2 linked regions of the Caenorhabditis elegans genome follow. The protein of the gene in region 2 binds, or shares a complex with, the protein of the main gene of each other region. Each region holds a gene or a part of one and is shown on either strand. Other genes may lie near its edges.

Evidence for each region. The genes of interacting proteins can lie anywhere in the genome.
Region 1: let-49 (region 2) and mdt-21 share a complex: the UniProt entries of both Caenorhabditis elegans proteins name them as parts of the mediator complex.

The regions. Positions count from the first base shown.
Region 1 is NC_003281.10:11,773,694-11,780,628, reverse strand, and holds mdt-21 (Mediator of RNA polymerase II transcription subunit 21), read right to left. Parts: upstream 3,009-6,935; 5' UTR 2,986-3,008; coding exon 2,797-2,985; intron 1,764-2,796; coding exon 1,560-1,763; 3' UTR 501-1,559; downstream 1-500. Other genes in the region: C24H11.5 (Gem-associated protein 7), read right to left, coding at 22-121, 311-394; immp-1 (Peptidase S26 domain-containing protein), read right to left, coding at 4,044-4,274, 5,296-5,390, 5,441-5,566, 5,620-5,665. UniProt on the Caenorhabditis elegans protein: Component of the Mediator complex, a coactivator involved in the regulated transcription of nearly all RNA polymerase II-dependent genes.
Region 2 is NC_003279.8:14,816,530-14,823,810, reverse strand, and holds let-49 (Mediator of RNA polymerase II transcription subunit 7), read right to left. Parts: upstream 3,400-7,281; 5' UTR 3,388-3,399; coding exon 3,297-3,387; intron 3,175-3,296; coding exon 3,087-3,174; intron 2,963-3,086; coding exon 2,743-2,962; intron 2,689-2,742; coding exon 2,618-2,688; intron 2,562-2,617; coding exon 2,270-2,561; 3' UTR 2,160-2,269; downstream 1-2,159. Other genes in the region: ubc-16 (Ubiquitin-conjugating enzyme E2 W), read right to left, coding at 78-91, 150-381, 1,477-1,582, 1,636-1,742; Y54E5B.2 (WD_REPEATS_REGION domain-containing protein), read left to right, coding at 3,589-3,783, 3,837-3,934, 3,983-4,109, 4,179-4,285, 4,415-4,747, 5,022-5,244, 5,292-5,480, 5,839-6,087 and 1 more. UniProt on the Caenorhabditis elegans protein: Component of the Mediator complex, a coactivator involved in the regulated transcription of nearly all RNA polymerase II-dependent genes.

The sequences.
Region 1 (6,935 bases), on a different chromosome or scaffold from region 2:
CCTAGGCCACGGCCACCGTACCGACGATCACGTGCTCCGAAGACGGTTGAAATGCTTTAATTGTGGCGGTGACCGTAGTTCGTTCGCACATTTCGATGGTGGCTGGCTTGTCGGCGGATTTCTGGAATTTTTCGAGAATTTTCGGGGAAAAATGGCACAAAAATTGGGATTTTTGGAAAATTTTCAGTTTTTAGACTTGAAAAATGAGAAAATCGGTGGCTTTTTTCAAAATTTTCGCTGAATTTTTCAGATTTTCACCAAAAATATCGATTTTTTGAGAGGTTTTGTAGATGAAATGTCCAATTTTCACCTGCAAAAAGCTCAAATATCGCTCCCGGAGCACAGCTTGTCGCCTCTGTTGCTCTCCTTCTGCTTCTTGTGTGCTCTGGGCCATCTGGAAGTGGTTTTGCTAGGGTTTTAGGCTAGATTTAAGAGAATTTCAGATAAAAAACCATGGTTTTTGCCAATAGAATAGGAAAATGAGGAGTATTAAATTTAAAAAAAAAATCAAATTTTAAATTTAAAAATACCCAAATTCTGGGGGAAAAGTGTAAAAAATGGGCAAAAATACAGAAAACAGTTAAAAATTAAATAAAAAGAAAAAGAGATCACAGTTTTTCGAAATTTAAGAAATTTTGGAATTTTCAAGGGAAAAATTTGAAAAAAAATCGATTTTCTCTGGGAATTTCTAATTATTTAAAGTGGTGGAAATCGATTTTCAATGGGGAAAAATTGGCAACTTTCTAGAAAAATGGGGGAAAATTGAATTAAAAATGATTATTTTTGAGGAAAAAAATTTAAAAAAAAAAAGATAAATTACCCACAATTTTTCAAATTTAGCAAATTTTCAGTAGAAAAAAGGGTAGAAAATCAATTTTGAATGGGAAAAAATGAATGAAAATAAATTAAAATTGACATATTTTAAAGGGTTGAAAAATCGATTTTAAATGGGAAAAATCCCAATTTTAATAGAAAGTCATGAAAGTTTATATGAAATTGAAATTTTCACGGAAAATTAGGCAAAATTTTTTCTGGATTTTAAGGAATTTTCAAGAGGAAATGGACTAGAAAATTGATTTAGAATTCTCAATTTTCCGGGAAAATCGGCCCAAAATAATTTTTTGCTATGAAAATCAATTTTCTCTGGGAATTTCTAATTATTTAAAGTGGTGGAAATCGATTTTAAATGAGAAAAATCGAAAATTTCAAGAAAAATAGGGGAAAATTAATTAGAATTTAACTATTTTCAGGGGCAAAAAGGGATGAAAAATCGATTTTAAATGGAAAAAAAGTTGATTTAAAATCGAAAAATTAAGGAAAAATCACAAAAAAAAATGGAAATCGGCTGAAAACATGGAAAAAAAACATGAAAATCGATATGAAATTGAAATTTTCACAGCAAATTAGGCAATTTTTTCTGGATTTTAAAGAATTGTCAAGAGGAAATGGACTAGAAAATTGATTTTTTTTTCTCAATTTACCAGAAAATCGGCCCAAAATAATGGAAAAATGATGAAAATTACAATAAAAAATCGGCAAAAATCGGCAAAATATAATAATTATTCACTGGGTCTCGAGCTCATTTGTGTCTTTGAAATCTCGGCAAGCTTCTTCTGAACAACTCCGACGAGCCGATTGCTGTCGCCGACGAGTCCGACGAGCTCATTCACTTTTTCTCGCTGCTTTTCGTCGTTTTTTATCATTTTCTCCTCGACTTCCGCTTCCTGGTTGCCCGCTTCGATTGGGAATGAGTCGATGAGGATCTGAAAATTATTTAATTGGTTTTTTCCCGAAATTTTAAGCTGGAAATTGAATTTTTTCGATTTTTAGCCATTTTTCACCCAGAAAATCGAATTTTCAAAAGAATTTCGACCTAAAATTCGATTTTTTTGAGATTTTTTTCAAGAAAATTATTAATTTTGTTCTATTTTTCACCCGGAAAATCGAATTTTCACAATTTTTTTCAAATTTTAACCCGAAAATTGAATTTTTCGACAGAAAATTGGATTTTTTTTGCTGTTTTTTGGGTAGAAATCACGATTTTTTCGGCAAAAATGAGAATTTGCTTAAAATTTTCAATAAAAATTGGATTTTTCTGTACTTTTTTGGCTGAAAATTAATTTTACTGAAACTTTTGTGGAAAGTGGATTTTTTTTAATTTTGAGTTTTTTTAAATTTTAAATTAATTTTTTTTTTCGGCTAAAAATGTGGATTTTTGAATTTTTTTAAAGAAAAATTTCGATTTTTCTTCATTTTTCACCCGGAAAATCGAATTTTCACAATTTTTTTCAAATTTTCACCCGAAAATTGAATTTTTCTGAAATTTTTTGGCTGAATATTGTAAAATTAATTTTTTCAGCCAAATTTTCAGAAAATCCTAAGCAAAAAGCTTCAGAAAAGCAGTTTTTCTCGTTTTTCAAACTATTTTATATTCCAGGAAACAATAATTTTCAAAAATTACAAAAATCCTCATTTTCAGCCGAAAAAAATTTAATTTAAAACTAAAAAAAACTCAAAATTAAAAAAAAATCCACTTTTCACAAAAATTTCAAAAAAAAATCTAATTTTCAGTTAAAAAAAATAGAAAAATACAAATTTTAAATTTTTGTCGGGTAAAAATGAGGATTTTTTTGTAATTTTTTGAATAAAAATTAGGGTTTCCTGGAATTTTCTGGAATTTTTTGAGTTAAAACAGGCTAAAAATAGTTTGAAAAACGAGAAAAACAGCTTTTCTGAAGCTTTTTGCTTAGGATTTTCTGAAAATTTGGCCGAAAAATGCTCAATTCTATAGAAAACCTCAATATTTTTAGCGGCTTTTGCAATTCCAGCGGCAAAAATCGCGCAATTTGGCTCATCCTCAAGCTCCTGTGAAATTGCTCCAAATTCACATGGCGGAGCAGTCGCCTGGAGCACTCCAATCGCATTTGTCATTAATCCGGCCATTTCGTTAATCATATCCTGTAGTTGGGTCATTCGATCAGCCATTTTCAAGAGTTTTTGGGCTGAAAATGAGCTTGAAATGTAGTTTTTAATAAAAAATTGGAATTTTCGTATAAAAATTGGTCGAAATCCTCTGAAAATTCGAGAAAATCAGATAAAAATGCATTAAAATGGAGTGAAAATTCATTTTTTTTTTCAAATTTTTTCCATTAAAAATTGATTTTTTTGAGTTGAAAACCTAAAAATCCTTATTTTCTGCGATTTTTAAGGTATTTTTCTGATAAAAAACCGGATTTTATGCGTTTTTTGGAACTTTTTAGGAATTTACTAGTAGAAATTTGAATTTTTTGAAGATAATTGGCTAAAAAACTTTGAATATTTGAGAAAATCGGATAAAAATTATTTTTTTTCTTCAAATTTTTACCAAGAAAAATTGATTTTTTTGAGTTGAAAAACTAAAAAAAATCCTTATTTTCTGCGATTTTTAAGGTATTTTTCTAATAAAAAACCGGATTTTGTGCGTTTTTTGGTACTTTTTAGGAGGTTTTCTAGTAGACGTTTGAATTGTTTAGACGAAACTTGGCTAAAACTCTGAAAATTCGAGAAAATCGGATAAAAATGAATTAAAATGGAGTGAAAATCGATTTTTTTTTTCAACTTTTTACCATGGAAATCTAAATTTTTTGCGTTGAAAATCCATACTTTCTGATACTTTTTTGGTAGTTTTCTGATGAAAAGTTGGTCGAAAGGCTCTGAAAATCGGATAAAAATGAATAAAAAATGAGTAAAATTAATTTTTTTTTTAATTTTCAATTAAAAATTGAATTTTTTTTGCGCTGAAAACCAAAAATTCTAGTTTTCTAGCGACTTTTTAGAGAGTTTTCTGATGAAAAATTGGATTTTTGGCTTCAAATTGATAGTTTTCATGGAATTTTTGCTGTAAAAGTGTTTTTTTCAGGTAAAAATAGGGTTAAAACCCATTAAAAAAATAGAAAATGGAAGTAGAAAAACATGGAAAAATAGTATTTTATGGCAAAAAAAAAAGTGAGACAAAAACCAGGAAAAAAGGGTGGAAAAGCACATAATTACACTGAAAAAGAAGCCTATTTCTCTGCATTTCTATCACTTTTATCCCAAAACCAATGATCAGAAATCCATCCGGCTCTCTCTGGAGGCCATATTCTCAGGCTGAGCCTTATCTGAACAAGGGCTTCAGGTACCGGGCCGAAATGTCTGGAATCTGTTGAAACTGGGCCGTTGTCACCGCGAAGGAATACGTGACCAATTGGAACTCTGCCAGATGGAAGCAAATGGGAGGTTACTGGATCGCCTTCCTGAAAAAATTGAAAATTTTATGGGTTTTTTTTAATGAAAAATAGCATTTAAATTGGCTAAAAACATCTGAAAATTTGAAAAAATCGGAAAAAATTGAATTTTTCAAGGAAAAATTATTTTTTTTTCGACTTTTTTTGGTGGTTTTGGATGAAAAATCGGATTTTTAAACGAAAATTGGCTAAAAACATGACACTGGGTCGCCTTCCTGCAAAAATTGAAATTTTAGGGTTTTTTTCTCGGGAAAATCGGAGCAAATTGGATTTTTTGCGTTAAAAACCTGAAAATCCTCGTTTTTTGCGACTTTTTAGGTGGTTTTCTAGGAAAAATCGAATTTTTGAAATGAAAATTGGCTGGAAACAACTGAAAGTGCAAGAAACATCTGAAAATTCGAGAAAATCGAAAAAAAAAAGATTTTTTTGCGTTAAAAACCATAAAATCTTCGTTTTTTGCGACTTTTTAGGTGTTTTTTTTAAATAAAAAAATCTGGGGTTTTTTGAACGAAAATTGACTTTTTTTTGCGTTTTCTGGCTTTTTACAGATTTTTTCCATAAAAATCCTCGTTTTTTGCGACTTTTTAGGTAGTTTTTTGATGAAAAATCGGGTATTTTAAAGAGATTTTCGGCTAAAAATGCATTTTTTGCAGATATTTCTATGCTTTTTTTTCAGGTTTTTCCTCTGAAATTATGGCTGAAAATGGAATTTTCAAAGATTTTTTACAAAAAGTTTTGTAGAAAGCCAGTTTTTTTTCAATTTTTTGCGTTTTTTTTTTAGAGATTTTGTGATTTTTCAGGTTGAAACTACTTAAATTCGCTTTTTTACACTTTTTTCCTGAAATTTAAACTGAAAATCAATTTTTTTTGCTTTTTTTTGTAAAAAAAAATTGCTGAATTTCAGGTTTTTCCCACCATTGTCGCGGAAAATGGCTCTAAAAATGAGGCAAAAAAACCAACTTTTTTCAATTTTTCAGTGAAAATTAAGTTTTTTAACATGAATTTCACGATTTCCAAGCGAAAAACCAACTTTTGCAGCTATCCGTTTGCACAGAAGCTCCTTAGGCTTCTGCGGATTCACACATCCCACTATATCTCCGACCTGGACGTTTTTATTGCGAATACCTGAAATTTCAGCCACTTTTATGTGAAATTTTCATTCAAAAAACTCCTACTAAATCGCTCGGCGAGCACCAAATCACCGTCATGAATCGTCGGATGCATCGATGGACCACTACAGATCACCATTTCCCCGATGTACTTGCTTATGCAGTGTCCGACGCAGTAAAAAGCGGCGGTTCCTGGAATTTTTGGGTTTAAAATGCAGTTTTCGGAGGAAAAATTGAGAAAAAACCTTTTGTAAACCTCCAGAGAAGCTTCAAGCCCTTTGATTTGACCATATTTGTCAGAAAATCTGGAAAAAGATGTGTTTTTCTCAAGTTTTGACGCTTTTTTTAACGGAGAAAACACATTATTCATAGAGTTTTCACAATTTCGGCATGACTTTTTATGAATTCACACTAAAACCAGTGATTTCTAACGATTTTTAGGTGAAAAATTGAATTTCAACACTTTTTAAAACATTTTAAGAGCGAAAAACAAAAATAATAAACAAAAAAAAATCGAAAAACATTCTCGCTGTGCATTCTGCCGTGGCGGTGTTTGCGTACAAAACACCAGAAAACGGTGCACGTGACGTGTCGTTTTCACTTGATTTTATCGCTTTTCTCTTCCGGATTTCGCAAGAAAACCTCAATTTCTCCACGTTTTCAAAGCCAAATTTCTTGAAAACTTCATAAATTTATAGGTTTAATTAATAATCGAGCCAAAAAATCCAATTTTCAGCCAAAAATCCACTTTTCAGCAGAAAAAATCCACTTGTAGCAGAAAAATCAAATTTTCAGCCAAAAACTTCAATTTTCAGCCAAAAATCCACTTTTCAGCAGAAAAAATCCACTTGTAGCAGAAAAATCAAATTTTCAGCCAAAAACTTCAATTTTCAACCAAAAATCCACTTTTCAGCAGAAAAAATCCACTTTTAGCAGAAAAATCAAATTTTCAGCCAAAAAATTCAATTTTCAACCAAAAATCCACTTTTCAGCAGAAAAAATCCACTTTTAGCAGAAAAATTCAATTTTCAGCAGAAAAAATCAATTTTCAGCCAAAAAATCCACTTGTAGCAGAAAAATCAAATTTTCAGCCAAAAACTTCAATTTTCAACCAAAAATCCACTTTTCAGCAGAAAAAATCCACTTTTAGCAGAAAAATCAAATTTTCAGCCAAAAAATTCAATTTTCAACCAAAAATCCACTTTTCAGCAGAAAAAATCCACTTTTAGCAGAAAAATTCAATTTTCAGCAGAAAAAATCAATTTTCAGCCAAAAAATCCACTTGTAGCAGAAAAATCAAATTTTCAGCCAAAAACTTCAATTTTCAACCAAAAATCCACTTTTCAGCAGAAAAAATCCACTTTTAGCAGAAAAATCAAATTTTCAGCCAAAAAATTCAATTTTCAACCAAAAATCCACTTTTCAGCAGAAAAAATCCACTTTTAGCAGAAAAATTCAATTTTTAGCCAAAAAATCTAATTTTCACCCAAAAAAGCCGTTTTCAAAGCCAAATTTCTTGAAATGTTCATAAATTTATAGTTTTAACCGTTTATAATCGAAA
Region 2 (7,281 bases):
ATAATTTTATAGGTCAATTATTTTCTGGTATCACGTATTCGGCGGGAGAACATAGCAAAGAAGATTGGAGGGGTCCTTCAAACACTGTCGTCTGAAAAAAAATTGTGTTTAATTTGTTTCGAATTTTCGAATTAAGTATTAAAACTGACCATGGAACCACCAGCGAGTCTTACTCGGATTCTTACTGCACGTTCTCACATAAATAGCGTCATCAATTGGATGTTTCTTCTCTTTTGACGATGAAAGCATTGACAGAATCGAGAGGCACACGGATTGAACACTGAGAGCAGGTGTCCAATCATCTGATAGGATAGACAGGCAGATATGTCCATTTGAGTAGATGTGCGGGTGGGCTGGGATAGTTTCGCCGACGAACATCACCTGGAAAAGTGATGATTTGGGTGCATATTGAACAATGTTATACTATTAGGGTGATCGATAAGTTTTTTCGTTTGTTCTCAGTTTTTATTTTTTTCTCAAATATTATTTTGTAATTACATAGTAATTAGTGAGTAGTGAAAAATTTATAAATACCAACCAATTCCGACAACTTCCAGACTGCACCATCTGCCTTCGAGTGGTCGAGAAGAAAAAATAATTTTTTCGATTTTTTTGGTTTTTGGGTTGAATGGAAATGTTAGTGTTTCATGCAGTTGGAAAACTTTTGTATAACGCAGATTAAAAATAGTTGGCAACGAAAAGCACTCCTTGATATCTTAAATTTGAGAAGGTACCGAAAATTAGTTGCAAAAATTACAATTTTCTCTTCAGAGTGGTATATCTTAGACTGCGTCACAGATTTCTATTTATGAACAACTACAAAAATATTAACCAATTATTTCTACACATTAATAATAATAATTTCAAAACCGGCAATTGTCGAAATTGCCGAAATTTTCCAATACCGGCAATTGTCAAAATTTCCAAAACCGACAAAATTGTGAAATTTGCCGAAAATTTCCAAAACCGGAAATTATCGAAATTGCCGAAATTTTCCAAAACCGGCAATTATCGAAATTGCCGAAAATTTCCAAAACCGGCAATTGTCAAAATTGCCGAAATTTTCCAAAACCGGCAATTGTCAAAATTACCGAAAATTTCCCAAACCGACAAAATTGTCGAAATTGCCGAAAATTTCCAAAACCGGCAATTATCGAAATTGCCGAAATTTTCCAAAACCGGAAATTGTCGAAATTGCCGAAAATTTCCAATATATACATATACGAATTCGGAGTCCGAATGCGTATTTAAGCCAAAAAGTACCAAATGGATTTATATTTTATGATGATTTTTTGGCTTAATTACGCGTTTAAAGACGAAAAAATTGTCCCAACATCAATTTGAGCAAGATTGTATTTTTTAATTCGTTATGTTTATTGTATTTAACTTTCAGAAAATATAACATTCCACCAATCTGGACACCAAAAAAGAGTCTCTAGTTAGTCCAATTTTTCACGAAAATAAATTTGTTCTTACCTCCGGAGAATTGAACGGGTACTGAGGACCAAACGTGAATTGCAGCATAAAAACTTCACCCGCATACAATGTTCCCTCGGCGCCGACGACTCCTATTTTCCATTGTCTAAATTAAAATTCGTATTAATTTCAAATTAAAACTGAAAAAATCGATCGTACTTCAAATCGTTACTTGTTGATGTATTATCCACTAAAAGCCCTTCTGGAGCCTCACTTTTCAGTTGAGCCAGCTCTTTCATCAGTCGTCTTGTCGCAGCATCTGACATTCCTGATGAGTGGAGGCGTCTGAAATTAGGGGTATTATGTGTTGATTCACGCAGAATTCGTATACTTCTCGAGGAGAAGAGAATTTTACAGTTTTTTTGGCTTAAATTATTGATTTTTAATCAATAATTTCTGCTCATAATTTCCAATTATAGAAAGAATAAAATCGAAAAAGCTACGTACGACTTTGCGCTTTTAATTGGCGTTTTCCTCTAAAATAAAAAAACCGAAAATTTTAGTTTTCTCATTTTCAGGTTTTTAATTTTTTGAAGAAAAAACACTGTTTTTCGAAATGAAACGTATTCCCTGAAGATAATTGTTTATGTCACACGAAAGCTGCCTAAAAAGTATAAAAAATAATTCGAAATAAAGAATGCGAATTGACGCATTTTCAACAGAACAAAGATGAAAAAACGATTGAAAAAAGTTATTTTTAAACGAAATTTTAATTACAGCATTTCAGAAGATCATCAGAGTCAAAATCATAGTTCGAAAACCCGGTAAAATAAATTAAAATGAAATTATTTAATTATTTCTTCAGTGAGATATCATGAAACTGTCTTGCTAACAAGTGTACAACACTCGGTGGTCCATCTTCTCTTGATAATAGTTCCAGCCTCGCTTTCTTTTTACTATATTCCGATCCTTCTTCCTCTTTCATTTCCACGTCATCTGAAGCTTCTGTCTCCTGAAGCATATGAAGCACTCCGTCTTGCAGTTTGACACGTGTCAGTTCCGAAGGTTGAGGTGGAGCTGGAAGCTTCCCACGGATCATTTGGAATTGGTCATCGACAACTTCTCGACCATCACGCAGATATTTTCTGGAAAAAAGGAGAAAAAATATACAAATTTAAAACTTAATTCCGATTTGACTAACTTAAAATCCTTGCAAATATCCGATAATTCTTCGATTTGTCTCTCTTGTAAAATTCGAACACTGTCGCGAGCCTGAAAAACATAGAAAAATATAGATTTTATTTCATTTTTAAAACACTTTTCTACCTGAACTGGCCGGAATTCATTGATCAAATGATGCATATTAATGAATATCGTGTGTAAATCGACCATTTTCTCCTCTCTCATTGGGTGATCGGGAGCGCGAATCAGAATTTCGACCAAATCGAAAAATGCGACTATGGCGGACCTGTTCAACTTCTTCATCTCGGTTTTCCAATTATTTTTGTTCTTGTAGAGCTCAGCAACACCGGCGTTTTTCAGAGGGCTGTAAATGAATGTTTTATTCTAGTTTTTCCCGCGTATTGAAAAAGGTTTTTGCAAAATAGGTGGGAAAATTCGGCTAGACTCAGCATGTTTTTGGTTTTTATATAGCCGCTAAAATTTCTTACGCGATGACATCATCTTCCAATCGATATTCCTCTCCGTACACCTTGAATTCCGTAAGTGGATGCGGCGGAGGTGGTGCCGAACCTGAATCTTGTTAAAGTGATGTATGAGAAATCTGTTAGAGAAATTGCGTTTTATTTCTAACAAAAAAAAATACTGTTTGCTGAATTAAAAACTGCTAGTTTCAAAATTTCAAAATTCAAACTCCTTACCATTATTGATTCGATCACTTGTATACGCCGATGCGTACTCTGGAGGATTTGGGAACGGGCTGACTGTTTGTGCACCAAAACCAGGAAGCATTTTAAATGAAAACTGAAAAAAATGAGTTGAAAACGATGAAAACAGAGCTGAAAAGGAAGGGAAGTATAATAATAAAAGAAAGAAAAATGAAAAACGTGAGAGTACGGAGGAGCGCAGTTGCATTATTTTTGAAAATTTGTTTTTTTTTCTTTTTTCTTTTTTCTATTTATTTTTGTTCTTAAACGAATTGTTTTCAGTTCAATGGACGAATTAGAAGATAATCCATGTCTTCTCGACCACCTTATTCAATCAAAAATAGCTGAAAAACATCTGCTAAGCGGGAAAATCATCACATGTGCAAAATTTGATGAAAAATACTCAAAATGTGCTGAAAACCAAATAATTGAGGAGTTTCCTGAGCATATCATTGGCTGCAAGTTGTTCAAAAAAGAAAAGGTAAAAGGTTACTCTCAAAATCGCCGACTTCAAACAACTTTCCAATTTTTCAGAAAATAATCACCGTAACATCGAGGAATTCGCTCACAATTCGCATATCTTCAAATCTGAGCGTTTTATCGAAAATTCAATGCGATTACTTTGCCACATCGTGCGTAAATTAGTAAAATAATACTGGAACAATTTCCTAATTTTCCAGAATTTGCTCTCTAATCATCGGAAATAGTGCAGAATCTTGTCACGTGTATTTTGGAAGTGTTATCGGAGAATTAATTGATTGGAAGCCACACGAAGACGAGAAGCCAATTATGAGAAAAGGACATAAAGTTCGATTTTTGACTTGGAAATAGCTTTGTTGTTGGCCGAAAAAAGAATTATACTATTCCAATTTTTAGGGAATGATCTTTTCAATTGTAACGGATTCCACACGTATTTTCACAATTTCTGATGATCGAACAATTCGAATGTGGCCAATTGATGACAGAGAAAGTGGTCCGCTTTGGTTGGTTTTCTAATACTTATTTTTAACTTTAAATTTATCGATTTCAACTAAAACAATTCAAAAAAAAATCTTCTTCACGAGGAGTACATGAGAACTGCTGCGTAAATCGACACAATTCTCCATTTTTAGCACAGTATTCGGTCATACAGCCCGTCCATTCGCCATTTGCGTGGATCCAATCAATTATAGAATCTACACGGGCGGTATCGAACAAACACTGTTCTGCTGGAAATATGATGAACGTTCGATTGATTTGCGGCAAAAGATTGCAATTCCAATTGGTGTTATTCAGAAAATCAGTAAAATAGACGATAGTACACTGGCGATCAGCTCTCAAAATGGAGATCTTTTGGAAATTCACGTGGAACAGCAATCATTGAAATCGAAAATTGTAATTTTGAAAGATGATTTGATGAATTTTGCGAATTTAAATGGGAAATTAGTGATTTTAACGGCAGATAAGTGAGTTTTTTTTTGACTAAAATTACTTTAAAAAACCTCCAAACACGAAATTTAATATTGGACTTTATTTTTTGGAAAATCCAAAAAATGCATAATGAGATACTATTTAATTCCAAGTTTGCATTTTTATACCATTTTGCACAAATTCTTCAGAAAGCCTAAATTCCTGTGAAGGCCTAAAATTATTCAATGGTCTAAAATTCGGCGACTTGGAAATTTGAACTCCTTTTCACTATTTTCTAAGAAAAAATCATACAACTCAATCATCTTACAGTGAGCTAATCCTCTTCGAATCCGATGCAATGCTCCGAATAATATTCCGATGCACAAATATAAAGCATATGACGTCATCAGATGATTCGGTAGTAGCGTGGCATCAGAACACGTGGATTGTCATCACAACTTCGTCAGTTCATCGATTGAAATTGTCAATGAATATCATCTCTGCCACGTGTCACGCCTCATACGTGGCAATTAAGACTATTGATGGAATAATTGTAAGAATTAGAGAAGAAGGGATTCGAAGGAAAACATACTATTTCAGCACGTCTACAACTTTGCCGACGTTGAGAATATCCGATGTCTGAAAAGATTCCGCGCACAGAATGCATCAATGATTCCGGCAGTGATTTCAGTAGTCCACGATAATTTATTGGTTATTGGAACGACGCATGGAGAGCTGTATCATGTAGATTTAGATGAACCGAACGATGATATTCGTCTGAGCTTGAGTGTAAGGAATATTATAGTTTTGCACTAAAATCTTCCTTTTTTTTTACAATGAAACGAGATTTATTTTTCCTTGTAAAGATGAGAAAATCTAAAAATGAAAGGAAAATTTCTGAAAAGCAATTTTAAAAAATTCGAGTACGCCACTTTTAAAGGAATAATCTAAAATTAATATATTCCGAATTTTTCTGTTTTACAGAAAAAAAAATATTCGGAAATTTGTAAATAAAATTCTCCAGAAAAACAAAAATTTGGGTTTTGGAAAAAGTTTTTTTTAAGTCGAAAGTTATGAGATAAATAAAATGGAGATAATATTATTTAATTATTTCAGCTAAAAACTTCGAAAATTTATATATTTCCAGCGTTCCACGTCATTTGAACTTTTTGGTGGAAAAGAAGTCACATGTATTCGATCAATTCCCAATTCTTCAATATTCATGACACTTGGCAAAACTGGAATTTGGAGTACAATTCGGTTAATACGTGGTGGCACTACAAACTATGAAATGGAGGTTATGAATTTTCGAAGCTTCTCGACATCAAGCAGAATGGCATGGCCATCAAAGTTTATTGAATGGAAAGGAAATCTCTTGATTGTTGGATTCTATGGGGTAAGAGTCGATTTACTCATATCTCGTGAACTCCTCGAGGAGAAGATTTTACAGTTTTTTGTTGGAACTTCCTGATTTCTGAGGCACCACGGATTCAAGATCTGGTGGAATTTCGGATCTACGTTTTCCGGATCTGGTATCCCACCCGATCTTGAATACGTGGTGCCTCAAAAATTATAATGTTGAATAAAAAACTTCCATCTTCTCCTCGGGGAGTACAAAAAGCTGCGTCAACACACACTTTTATTTAACTTATCTTATTTTACAGACATCACTAATCATTTGGAACTCTACAACAAATCTTCCAATCTTCGAAACATACTGTGGTGGAGGTCATCGAATATGGCAGTTGAATGGCAGCGAAGAAAACAAGTTCAATTTCGATTTTATTCGAGATTCGCAGCTATGCCGGCAAAAAATTGATTTTCTATCAAAAAACTACTGGATTAGCAATGCACATTCATCTCCAATTGTTGCGGCGTCTGGATCGAGTAACTATTTAGTTACAGTATCCCTTGATGGGCACTTGTCAATTTCGGATGGCAATTTGAAAAGAATTCTGACGATATTTGTGGGAGAAAATCTACTTTGCACGGATATTTACGATGAAGCTGATGAAAATGGCACTGTCTACATTCTCACAGGCGGCGGAAAATCCAAACTCTCAATTATCTGGTTCAATTCTCTAGAATTCAAGAATTCCAGCGTATTTTCACTTCGCCATGTGTCTCGACCAGACGAAGGTCGCGTTGTTGCTGTTAAAACGTGTCGAATTGCTCAAAAAACCTATTTCATCGCCTCATATTCATCTGGAACGATTGAGGTCTTTGGTGGAATATCACTCGAATCCGTGTTTTCGATTGAAATTGAAGATTCTTTGGGAATTGCTGCGAAAATGGATTATTCGAAATCGCAGCTCGTTGTTGGAACCAGTGGCAGTTATATTCTTACTTACGATTTGCTGGAAGATGGAGTTCTGAGGGAGAAACAACGAGTGGTGAGTTTAAAAAAAAACATTTTGAAATAGTGCAATTAGTGCGATTTCCCGGCTTCTTTTGAGCACTTTTTTTTTTAAACAGGAAACTGGATTTATCAAAAAGAAAAACCGATGTTGATTAGAAAAAAGGAATTGCTAAATTAAATTTTTCTCTAATTATTCGTTTCTCTAAACAAAATCGAAGAAGTGGCTCCAAA